Linked DNA regions of Drosophila melanogaster. The protein of the gene in region 2 interacts with the protein of the main gene of each other region in a pairwise test. Each region holds a gene or a part of one and is shown on either strand. Other genes may lie near its edges. The genes, in order: CG42709 and MP1.

Region 1 (7,662 bases), on a different chromosome or scaffold from region 2:
TCGAATCTCACCTAGTTGCACGAGGAAGAGTCTAACGGTATCCTCGCTGAGCGTCCCCTTGACACTCAGATAATCCGCCAAGTCGCCGCCATTGCAATACTGTAAAGAGAAAGGATGAAGAGCGTGAGTGGAGCTGATTGGGAAATTAAATTAAGAGAGACCCCCACGAGTCAAGAGTTCAGCGCGCATATAAATCTTCTGGGACCCCAAAAGACCTCAAAAGCAGAATGCAACCCATGCAAACGAATTAAGTCCAATCAGTGCGAAAATGAAAGAGTCCCGAGATTTGATTCAGTCGGTCTTTCCATCTTTTAGCTTCCAGCTGCTCGCTCGACTTTTGTGCAAATCCCAGTCAATCATAGAAAACGGCAAGGTCAAAGCGAATATGATTTATGGCAATTTTCTGAATCAAGAACTGGAATTAGGGAAATATGTTTATGGATCAGCCCAGACAGCCAGCTGCTTTTCTTTTGTCGTTTGCCCAACAAAGGTTCTGTTCCGGTTTATGTCAGCAGATGCGGAGAAAGAGTTGGGGTAAAAATAAGCTATAGAATATTGAATATGCTAGGGGAATTTACACTTGGAATTTTAAATACACTTCCATGTAATCTTTAATCTTTGAAGTAAAGCACCAGTTAGGTTTTTTAAAAATGCCCGTTCACTGCAGTGATTTTTCCATACTCATTTGAGAATAATTAATAATTTTCTCTTTTAATATATAATATAATATAATATTATAATAATAAGCCATTGATAAAGTATATGATAGTGAATGCTAAACAAAAGGCAACAAAATGTTCAAATAAAATATAAACCTCTAAGCATTCGAAAACAGCAAAAAGGAATATCAGTTATCATGAAGAAGTTTTTGAAAAACTTGAAAATGAAAATAGAATATCCCGATATGGGAGAACTTTGTAAGCAGCCCTCGCTAAAATGTAAATGAAGAGAACGAACCCCTGTCTCTCCAAAATGCCGTTATATTTTTGGCCTGAGCAAGTTGCCTAAAAGGATTTGCGATTTTTGACCTTGAGGCCGCCAATCGAAGACATGACTATAGAATTCCACACGAACACAACCACCAAAAACCAACAAAAGTAATGTGCGCGGCGAACATTTTTATCCGCTTTTATGGATTTTTTGTTTTTCATGAGAAAATATATGGACCACTTACAGTTTAATGAGCAAACAAAGCAACATTAGGCAATTAAACAGCCAATTTGAAATGACAAAAGATTTCACTGCACTCGCTTTTTGTGAAATCGCTAAAATCGCCGAAGAGAAGCGAAGAGCGAAGAACATTAAACAAAAAGTCATTGACATGTAAAGTACATAAACATAAACATAAAAGTAAAAGTTTGAAGGAAATGGTGGAATACTCGCAACGAAGAGGGTTTTTCTTCCTCTGGGGCTTTTTAACAATTTCTAAATTATATGCAATGCCATTTCCCGGCAACAAGTGCCCATGAGTCAGCGATTTATTGAAAAATGCACTTGCGTAATTAATGGGCTTCTCTGTTTTTTCTTTCTTTTTTAAATATTATTTTGAAGAATCAAGTGTGAAGAGAGCGATTCGAAAGCTAAGAGAAGACTCTCTTCAGCCGCTCTATTTCAACTTACTCAATTTTTAAGCTCGCAACTTCTGCGGTTCCGTTCGCAGCTCATTCTCAAATCGACGGTGGCATGAGTCGCACGTTATCGCGCGACAACAAAAAGCCAAGTTAGCAAATCATTAAGTATAATTTAAACGCGATACTCCTCCATTCAGTAGAATTCGATGAGAAAACTCTCTAGTGTAATACCCAATTTAGTACATATATTATCGAGAAAAACGACGACGCGTGTCATTCGAAGTAAGCGCAGTGGACTAAAGGTCAACATATTCTAGGCGATAAAAAGAACGCTGCTGCTATACATTGTTCATCGCAATCACAACACAAAGACCTAGAAACGGGATTAAAACAAGAGTTTAACTTAGCACTCGGTGAAACAAATATTCAAACAAACTTTTCACTCAAATCACGTCCAATTTAATCGCTATGATTCAGCCAGCCAAGTGTTTCACATTTTTCCAGCAAATTATGTAAATAAACTGTGAAAGCTTCCCTTTTTTCATATCAAAAGGCGGGCCGACCGACTTATAAGTCAAGTCCAAAGCAAAGTTCATTACGATCGGCGTTAATTCTAATCAGACAAGTGTGTAATTAATTTTATTAATATTACAAGCCGTCCTAAAGATTTCTTTGTACTTCCAAATCTGCTGCTTAAGTTATTATGTTGAAAATATGGCAATTGAAATTTTAATTTCTAATGTGATGTAATGCTTATTAATTAAGATAGGATTACCCAAACCGATTAGCCTTTATTTACGGTGCTTAAAGTGTGAGTTTGCTCTTTCTGTTTTCATTGAAAACATGAATTCCATAATTGTTACTATTGATAATAATCGATTAGTAAGTCAGAAGTTGGTTAAAAGCTAAGCAGAAATCGCGAGGGTATGAGACAAAGCAATTAAATATTAAAAACTGATAAGATAACCACGGCTAAACATTAAACTTAACATGAGAGAGTTTGGAAGAGAGAGTGAGAGTAAAGAAAAAGAGATAATATTTGCCGCTCTTCGAAGCTCTCACACACACACCTGTTCAGTCAGTCGAACGGAATGGGAATTGTTGGCGAATTTTTGCTCATTCGAGAATCGGCAGCGAGTGGAAAAGTTTGTGCGAGCGGAGTGAAAAATAATTATTTTACTTTTGCCAAAAGTAAGCCGGCAAATGTAAATGGACATTAATCAACTTTGAAGCTGTAATTTCAAAGCAAAACAGATGAATATTAAAAGTGCAAAGTGAAACGAGAATAGCGGTGCAAAAATAGGCCCCTAACACCTAATAAAATCTATTTTCAGCTTGAAAATTTTCACATCAAGTTTGGCAAAAACGACGAAAATGCTATGAAAACCCTGAGATAAACACAAATACAAACAACACGACGCCTTGAAGACGCAGTGAAAACAAAGCTAAACAAATATCAGTAAACAAATAATTCATAATAATGCACGTGTACTACAAGTTTGGATTACTGCTGATATTTTTGCTAAGCGTGAGGTAAAAATCAAGTTGTAATAAATATTTACAGATCTCGATATGTGGAGAAATCACATTTGTTATTCTTATGGGGCTGGAAAATAAGTAATCCATTTATTTATAGAAATCAGTAGACCCTTTCCTAAAAACGAAAAACAGGGAAGACACGGGGCAAAGTTTCCGTTTAGCAACATTCGCAGTGATTAATTCACTAAAAACGAAATAACGACAGGTGAACCAGGGTAACGGGACTTTGACCCGCCCACAACTGAGATATCAATGCCAAATGGAATACTCACGCATGGGGTTATAAAAAAAAAACAGCAACATTTTATTGATAGTCCACGGCAACCGCTCTTAATTGCCGCCTTTAATATATATATAAGGTGCACGAATTTACACTCTACTTAATCATATCGCATAATCTGGTTCTGATAAAAATAATAACAATTCCCCGGTTGTCCGATAATTTATACCGTTATTGCTTATCAAATTGTTTGCTCAGCGTTTTGAATTTCTCAACCAATATCTCAAGCAATATTGCAAATGACATAGAAATTTATAACTGTCTCGATTTTCAGATTTTTCTTTTAATTTACAACTGAAACGAGGTTTAGACATTATCGATTATGTATAAATATTCTATATTCTTGCCCTAAAAAAAATCTTTTTAAATACTTCTGAGTTTTAAAACCTAAGATAAAATTCTTTAATCGTTCTTTGCATGTTAGTACTAGTATAATTTTCCCAGTGCACATAAGCCCATTTCTCTATTGATTTTTGGGCCTTTTTAAACCTTTTCAGCCACTCGAAATCAAATGTCAAAGTAGAGTGCTTTTAAGTGCGACGCTTCCAATTTTAGTCACTTCATTCAAGTAGTCAAGGGAATTACGTCGACTAGGTCGTCATGCTTAGTAACAGTTTAGAGATCTTTCGTAATACCCATTAACTTCGGCGAGCAGCTGAAGCTTGAAGGCAATTCGTAACGTTCGATAAATATATCTTTATTATCCGGTAGGACTATATACCAATTAATAGCTACATATCAGCACTTGCGGTTCAAGTACTCGACTCTATAAAGTCGTTCATTCTGTTCATTTTGGCACTTTTAAGGATTGACAAGGCTCCTCAGCAGCATTCATTGAAACTTCACTCAAAAGTCACGCAATTGAAGAGAACTCTACATGGCAGTCAAAAGACTCACTTGAACTACTCTACTAGCCAATTTACACCTTTTTTTCTAAAAGTAAATACAACCCACTAGAACTGAAGTCGCCGAATGCACGGATAACGAACGATTTAGAATCAGACAAAAAAAAAAATGAAGAGGGGTCACAAATGACAGCAAAAAAATAAAATAAATCTGAAAAAAGTGAGAGTAAACGAAATCGTAAACTAAAACCGGTCGAGTTGTCTCTTTTGCCATGAAGTAAACTGGTTTCATCTGTGCTTTTTACTGAGTAGCTACAGTACGTTTCGAAAATGTAAGGTCAGTTAACAGAAACAAATAAACAACTTTACAGACAATAAAAGTGCTTGAGTTACAATAAAAGAAATGTGTGCTTTCTTTATTTTCTTTAGCTTGAAAGTATATCTATTTGATTTTACTTTATTCTTAAAAAACGAAAGGCAAAATATATTTTACAATATATGCATAATCTAATGAATTGCATTAAGAAGCCTTGTATCATTGAATACTTTTAATTCATTTAAGGGCTATTGCTGTGACCACGACTGTAGCGAGAAATACTTTGTATGTAGGCTTGTTCGCACATGTGAGTGTATTCATTCATGTTCTTTCGCGGAGCAAACATAAACAATAGCCGTATAATGATAGTGGGGAAAACGAATGTTTCTGTGTGGCTATGGCGTGGTCATAACGATATGGGTCAAGAGCGTTTTCAGGACAAATTAGCTAGGTGTGTTCGCCTTCAAGACGTGAGTGATGTAAGCACGTACCGCTTAGAACCCACCGACAATCTAAAGCCAAATATTGACAATTTTGGGTATTTGGTAAAACCACTTAACGAATTCGTACAGTAATTGCTCTATCAGAAATGCGCATTCGTTTGACATATAATTGCCCTGCGTTTTTCTTCATAAGCAATGTGAATTCGTTTATAAGTCGTGGAAAAAACCAAATTGGTATATTGTTGGTTTATTCAGTCGAGACCGGAAAATAATTTAATGATTACTCTTACAGCATCAGCCACACAAATGCCGCTCCAGCGGGCAGTGAGGAGGCAAATCCCCTCGAGGACTTTAATTACGGCGATGATGACTACAGTGAAACAGCGACGGGCGAGGAATCGCCGGAGACAGCAGAAAATAGACTGATGCCACAATCATCCTCCACATCGACCACCACCACATTTCGACCAATATTTAGTGAGCATAACATAAATCTATATATTCCGAACTGAAAAGGCTAATGAATATCGTTTTGCAGATATACCACGACGCAGCAACCATGTCCTGGAGCCCAGTTGCCCGCGCAACTGCCTCTGCCTGGAGGACTTCAAGTTCGTTCAGTGTGCCAATGCCCATTTGACCCATGTACCCCTGGACATGCCCAAAACGGCGGCCATCATCGATCTGAGCCATAATGTGATTGCCGAACTGAGGCCGGAGGATTTTGCCAATCTGTCCAGGGCGGTGGAAATCAATTTGAATCACAATCTGATCAGCAGCATAGACAAGGATGTAAGTGCCCAGCTAATTCTACTAATTAGATAAATTGTAACTAATGTGCTTATTATCTATTGTAGGTCTTTCAGGGATCGGAGCGTTTGAAGCGCCTGCGGCTGGCCAACAACCGTCTAACCAAAATCGATCCCGACACCTTTGCGGCGGCCAAGGAACTAACGCTACTCGATTTGAGCAACAACACCATAACCCAGCGCCTGGACGGATCCTTCTTGAACCAGCCCGACTTGGTGGAGTTCAGCTGCGTCAACTGCAGCTGGACGGAACTGCCGGAACAGACGTTCCAGAACATGAGTGGCCTGGAGGTGTTGCGCTTGAACAAGAACGATTTTAAACAGGTAAGAATGGCGAGCCAAAAGTGCGATAGCACAAGTTATCGCTCTATCGATAGTTGGCGCAACTGAAGCCAAAACAGCTGTGTTTGCCATCGCGCAGTTGTCTATATAGTTGTCCCGCTCACGCTTTTCCATTCCGACAGCAAATCAATACGAAAGCTTTCTCGCCGCTAACAAAAATAATTAAACTGAAGCTGCCGGAACTGGAACAACAGAACATCGAGGAGCTGTGCAGCCTGCTGACCTCCATCGACACGATTAGCTTCCTCAACTACGACATCAGCTGCTACGAATTCGTACTGGGCACCCCCTTCAACGGCAGTCTCATCTATCCCACGGAGCCGCCGCTCAAGGGGATTACAAATCCGCCCATCGTCGCCAGCATCACCAGCACTGCAAAGCCAGTGACCGCCACACCCGCACCGCCCAGAAGTGGTGAGCTATTTCCCATGACTCGTAGATCATCTTGCTAACGTGTCTGTTGCTCACCTCCCATTGTTCGCATTTAGCCAATCGCAATCGGGGCAAAATGGACAACAGCACGGAGCTGGTCAAAGCCGGAATCCTGAGCTCCGAGACCAGCACAAGCGGAGTCAGCGTGGAGCCGCCTGCCGAGAGCCAGACCAATCAGGTGCAGATCTCCCAGGAGGCCATCAACACGCTGCTCATCTGTGAGTACAAACTGCGGTTTAAGGTTTATAACATCAACTATTTTAAGCATCTTGCTAAACAGTTATAGTTTGAGTTATACACCTTTTACTTGCGGTACAAAACCAGACTAATTTGTTCAATTTAATCCACTAGGCATCATGGTTCTGGCCGTGATTGGCATCGTCATCGGACTCATTTGCCGCCAGGATATTGGCGGCATCAAAACCAAATGCTGCCGCACTAGCAAACCAGAGCCAAAGGATCAGGTTCATCCCACTGAGGAGATACCACTGAATAAGCTAGCCTAAGAAAACTTTCCAAAACAAACCGAAACCAAACGATCGAAGATGAAAAGAGAATCCTATCCTTCTCCTCCAGTTTCGAGAACAAATTCCATTTTGACGGCATTTTTGATAGATTATAAATAGGTATATGTATATCACGTATGTATATGGCTAGTTAGTTAACTACTTTGACGCGGTATCTAGCCTAACTATATAGTCTCTCCTACAATGTTTCCCGCACAACAACTGAACCGAATCCGTTGTTAGATTCTAGTTGTTAGTCGGAGTAGGTTAAGCCGCCTAGTCGCTTAGCGTTCTGTTCTTTAGGGGGACTCGGTAAATGGGATCCCGCACCAAAACTCCTGGCACTGTTCTAGTTTTAGATCCCAAAATCAATTTTCATCGCAACACTTAAATTAATGTAAACCCATAGATACACTAGTTGTTAGCTTTAGACTTTTGCCAAAATACAATAAAAGTAATTATTGTACATAGTAAAAAAAAAGAAAACCATTGTTTTGAATTATGAAACCAAAAGATTAAAAAGATTACATCTGATAGACTTGATTATTTACCTATATACTCTCCTCATATCACATTCCT
Region 2 (4,666 bases):
GTCATTCAGGATTATTTAAGATTCGTGCAAAACCAGTAGAGTGACAGACATCATCTTATAAATATTGTAGGAGCGGCCTTTAATTATACAAAGGAAAGACCCCACGTGTCACCGCTAGAACACTTTGCAGTTAGCGAAGTGTGAACAGCGGCGTTTATTAGCCCAAAACCACAACGTCAGGAACGGCAATTCTCTTGCTACCCCGCAGATTCCAATTTAATTTAATACGAGTAGTCAGAAGTTCAGCTCAAAGATAAGCCGGAGGTAACCCCTAATGAAATGCATTGTCAAATGAAATGGTAAAATTGACGACGTCCACTCTTTCTTGAAGTGGGCAACGGCATTAAATCAGCAAACTAATGGCCACTAAGCAAACGATAGGGCGAGAGGCATCTGTTCTGAAGGAAGATGGTAACTGCCAACTGAGGGACTGTTCGCCTAAGTGCTTTTCGTTCGCATCTTGGCCACTCGGCCTTAACTTAAAAGCGCTTGAAACAAATTGAAATCATTTCTTTCTTACTTTTGGCGAAGGCTACATTTACAGCTTATAGCCAATCATCATAATGCCGCGTCTGTTTAAAGTTTTCTGTACATTGCAATTGCAAATTACTACGCTGTCGGAAACGGAAACAGTCTAGATAAAACAATGTCACAATTTTAAAATAATGTCTTATTTTACCAAAACTCGTAAAATGTAAGGATGTAACCCTCACAAATATTCGCTTTCTTCACCAAGATCACTAGCCCTGTCGATATTACCATACCCAACCAAAAGACATAAGAAGTAGAATTATTCGACATAATGCCTTTGCTCTACTCAACGCTTTGTAACCGCCTCACGACAATTTAAAAGCACTTAAAACAATTTCATATATCATTACAAATTGAAGTGGTATGCTTGTATATTTATGAATTTAAATGATTAGAAAAGATTAGAAAATCATGGAAATTAAATTGAATAACAAAGTGACTCCTTGGACGTCCACTTCTGAAACTATATTGGCTTATGGAGTACATAACCTCAGTTCTTTTTATACCAGTTACGCGTAGAGTAAAAGGGTATAATAAATTCTTTGAAAAGTACAAACTACATGTACGCATGGAAGCGTTTCCGACTATATAAAGTATATATATTCTTAATCAGGATCAATAGCCGAGTCGATCAAGCCATGTCCGTCTGTCACAGGCGCAGCGCAAGTTTGTTGTCCCATGTTGCCACACTTTTGAAAAATGTGTTATTTTCCTTGCCACGCCCACTGCAAGTACCTTAAACCGCACATAACTGCCACGCCCACAATTTTGAAAAATTGTTCGATATTTTTTCATAATTTTATTAGTCTTGTAAATTTTCTATTTATTTGGCAAAAAACTTTTTGCCACGCCCTAAAGCAGCTAAAGCCGGTCACGCCCTACTTTTGAACAATTATTAATTTTTTTTTTCTCATTTTATTCCCCAATACCTATTGATATCCCAGAAAAATTATGAAATTTCGCGTTCGCATTCACACTAGCTGAGTAACGGGTATCGGATAGTCGGGGAACTCGCATTCTCTCTTGTTATTTTTCTAACAATACTTAAAAAACTTAAGGTTACTGTATTTCTCTGGAATCTTAACGATAAAATAAGTATAATAGTATAGTAGTACAATCGTTTTAAATACCTATTAATGAAGTTTAGAGAATATATACGAAGTTAGAAAAATTGATTATGGAAACTACTTTAGGATATTTTCCTAAGTTTCTCCTAATTATTTTCAAAGATTTTATGTATCTGGCTACAAAAAAAGATTGGTAATGTTTAATTTTGATATTTTTCAAAATATTCGATTATTATGTTTTACAGAAATTGTTTTTACAGAGGGTTTGCAAATGTTTGAATGTGAAAATTCACTCTCTGTTAATAAAGTGGGTTTGCCAGATTTTTTAATGGATTGGCCCGTATGGACTTACAGATATCGTCCGACCCAAGATATTTCAGCCCTAGGAGAAGAGGGTAAGTATCATCTGCATTCTGTTGGCGTGGGAAGTTCCCTGATGAGCAACGCATAAAGAGCGGACCCAACATTGAGAGCGGGCTTTTTCGCCAGTATGGGTGTGCCCAAAACCAGACCCTGAGATAAACCCAGACTTGCACTCTCTTAATGCTGGTGTGCTTCCTCAGGTTGAACCATTCTCTGTGAGAGAACCGCTGATAAGCTGTAACTTAGAGCTCGATCGCATTCCAGTTTATAGCCACATTCAGTGTGTTCTCGGCAGGCGCTCTGTCAGCGTATCGTTCTTCCAAGTACAGTGCTATAGTACAGTCGAAGATATAACCATGGAACCGCACTTTTTTTTCACCGTACTGTGGATGCTATTGATGGGAACAAGCAGCACTTACGCACAAGGCAAGTGGTTTTGGCTCTCAGTCGTAGTCGGGGGTTGCTGGCATCAAAACACAAAGCAACCTCCTATCAGCGGTGAACTTCACCCCGAGTCGGGCTGAGTCGATGATAGTCACAGTGGGCTGGTCCCAGAACGCAGAAATCCCGTTCCCGCTGTTAATCACGACTATCTTTGAACCGGGCTTTACGATTTACGTTTTTTTTTTTCAGAAATCTTTGGGTATTGTAGAACGCCTGATGAGAACAGCGGCACCTGCATAAACCTCCGGGAATGTGGATACCTATTCGAACTGCTTCAAAGCGAAGAGGTTACGGAACAGGACCGTCGATTTCTGCAAGCCAGCCAATGTGGCTACCGGAATGGACAAGTGCTTGTTAGTACCCCCTTAAAAAGTTGTGGTGCTAAAATCGATTAAGATCATTTTCATCCATTGAACATATATATAAATTAATTCTTTTACTTATGGCTATCGCATCGAATCGCTTTTCGATGCGACGCCACCATGCATTCTTATTATCAACTTTTATCAATTTAGGAAAAACATTTTTGTTTTACCAATGTTCAGATTTGCTGTGCAAACAGCCGAATGCGAAACCAGCAACCTCAGTGGGGAAATCATCCTCAACCTACTCAGACCACTAAGCCTACAAAACGCTCTGGGACCAAACTGTTACCAATGGCGCCCAATTGCGGTGAAAACTTTGGAGACCGAGTGGTGGGTGGTAACGAGACGACAAAGAGGGAGTTTCCTTGGATGGCCCTAATAGAGTACACGAAGCGTGAGTAACCAAAATATTCCCTGCTGCAGGGACTAATCCCCCCCCCCCCCCATTTTACCAGCCGGTAACGTGAAAGGTCACCACTGCGGCGGATCTCTAATCAACCATCGTTACGTTCTGACGGCGGCACACTGCGTCTCGGCTATTCCCAGTGATTGGGAGCTGACGGGAGTACGCCTGGGTGAGTGGGATGCGAGCACCAATCCGGATTGCACAGTCGGTAAAAACGGACGACGGGACTGCAACGAACCGTACGTAGACTACCCTGTTGAGGAGCGTATTCCGCACCCGCAGTACCCGGGAAACTCACGGGACCAGCTAAATGACATTGCGTTGCTGCGATTGCGGGACGAGGTTCAGTACAGCGACTTCATATTACCAGTATGTCTGCCCACTTTAGCGTCCCAGCACAACAATATATTCCTTGGCCGAAAGGTGGTGGTGGCAGGGTGGGGTCGCACGGAGACAAATTTTACGTCCAATATCAAGCTGAAGGCTGAGTTGGATACGGTACCGACGTCCGAATGCAACCAAAGATACGCCACCCAAAGAAGGACTGTCACCACCAAACAGATGTGCGCCGGCGGAGTTGAGGGGGTTGATTCCTGTCGCGGGGACTCGGGTGGCCCCCTTCTGCTCGAGGACTACTCCAATGGAAACTCAAACTACTACATTGCTGGTGTGGTCTCCTACGGACCCACGCCCTGTGGCCTAAAAGGATGGCCCGGCGTGTACACAAGGGTTGAAGCGTATCTGAACTGGATAGAAAACAACGTTAGGGCTTAATCTTAAATGACGAAAATTAACATTCTTAGGGATTGATCGTAAATCGTGCAGATTACCATTGTAAAATGGGACATGCCACAGTAAATATCGATTTTTAATGAAAGGTAGATTTTACAATAAATTAAGTTATCTCGTGTAGATTCAACGGTAAAACGCGCAGAGTTCAACACTTCTTGATCTGGTGTACTGTACACTTATAATATAAAAACTCAATTCAAGTTTCTGGAGATTATTTTGGTTTCTACAATCAAATGACGGCGTGGGGGTTGCCGTTTATGATTTTGATAAGGTCTGCCAGTCAAAATCACTTGCCTTTAATTTCAAATCTAAATAAAATACCCATAGCAGTTGTTTTAAGATCGCAGCGAGGCCAGGCGGCTTTGCATCTCTTGCAGTTCCTCACCCTCCTCATCGTCCTGCTCAGCCTCGACGCGCGCAGCAGACGCAGACGCCTTGTCCGCCGGTGTAGCCTCTGGAGGCAGGGGAGCTTCCCCGAGCTTGCCATCTGTGATCTCCCACAAAACCTTGTCCACCTCCTTGCTTGCCTCCTCCTCCAGCTCCTCGGACTCCTCCAGCGAGTCCATGGTCTCGTCTAGCATCTCCTCAATAATGCCGGCCTTCATCATTTCCTTTGACATGTCGCGCATGATGCCTGCAAGCTCTGGATAGCGCACCAGGCTCTGCATAGCTTGCAAGACCTCTGTAGACTTTTGCAG

Evidence for each region.
Region 1: the proteins of MP1 (region 2) and CG42709 interact in a two-hybrid assay, tested with the Drosophila melanogaster proteins (one large-scale study listed by BioGRID).

What each region holds. Positions count from the first base shown.
Region 1 is NT_037436.4:12,788,530-12,796,191, forward strand, and holds CG42709 (uncharacterized protein), read left to right. Parts: upstream 1-1,662; 5' UTR 1,663-1,853; intron 1,854-2,688; exon of another isoform or gene 2,689-2,905; 5' UTR 2,906-3,051; coding exon 3,052-3,104; intron 3,105-5,286; coding exon 5,287-5,471; intron 5,472-5,532; coding exon 5,533-5,786; intron 5,787-5,851; coding exon 5,852-6,127; intron 6,128-6,267; coding exon 6,268-6,559; intron 6,560-6,633; coding exon 6,634-6,795; intron 6,796-6,928; coding exon 6,929-7,083; 3' UTR 7,084-7,555; downstream 7,556-7,662. Other genes in the region: Atg1 (Autophagy-related 1), read right to left, coding at 12-99.
Region 2 is NT_033777.3:4,305,670-4,310,335, forward strand, and holds MP1 (melanization protease 1), read left to right. Parts: upstream 1-2,238; 5' UTR 2,239-2,317; coding exon 2,318-2,387; exon of another isoform or gene 2,388-2,594; coding exon 2,595-2,758; coding exon of another isoform or gene 2,759-2,785; exon of another isoform or gene 2,786-2,920; coding exon 2,921-3,164; exon of another isoform or gene 3,165-3,225; coding exon 3,226-3,950; 3' UTR 3,951-4,166; downstream 4,167-4,666. Other genes in the region: Vps24 (vacuolar protein sorting 24), read right to left, coding at 4,304-4,666. UniProt on the Drosophila melanogaster protein: Serine protease which plays an essential role in the melanization immune response by acting downstream of sp7 to activate prophenoloxidase (PPO1).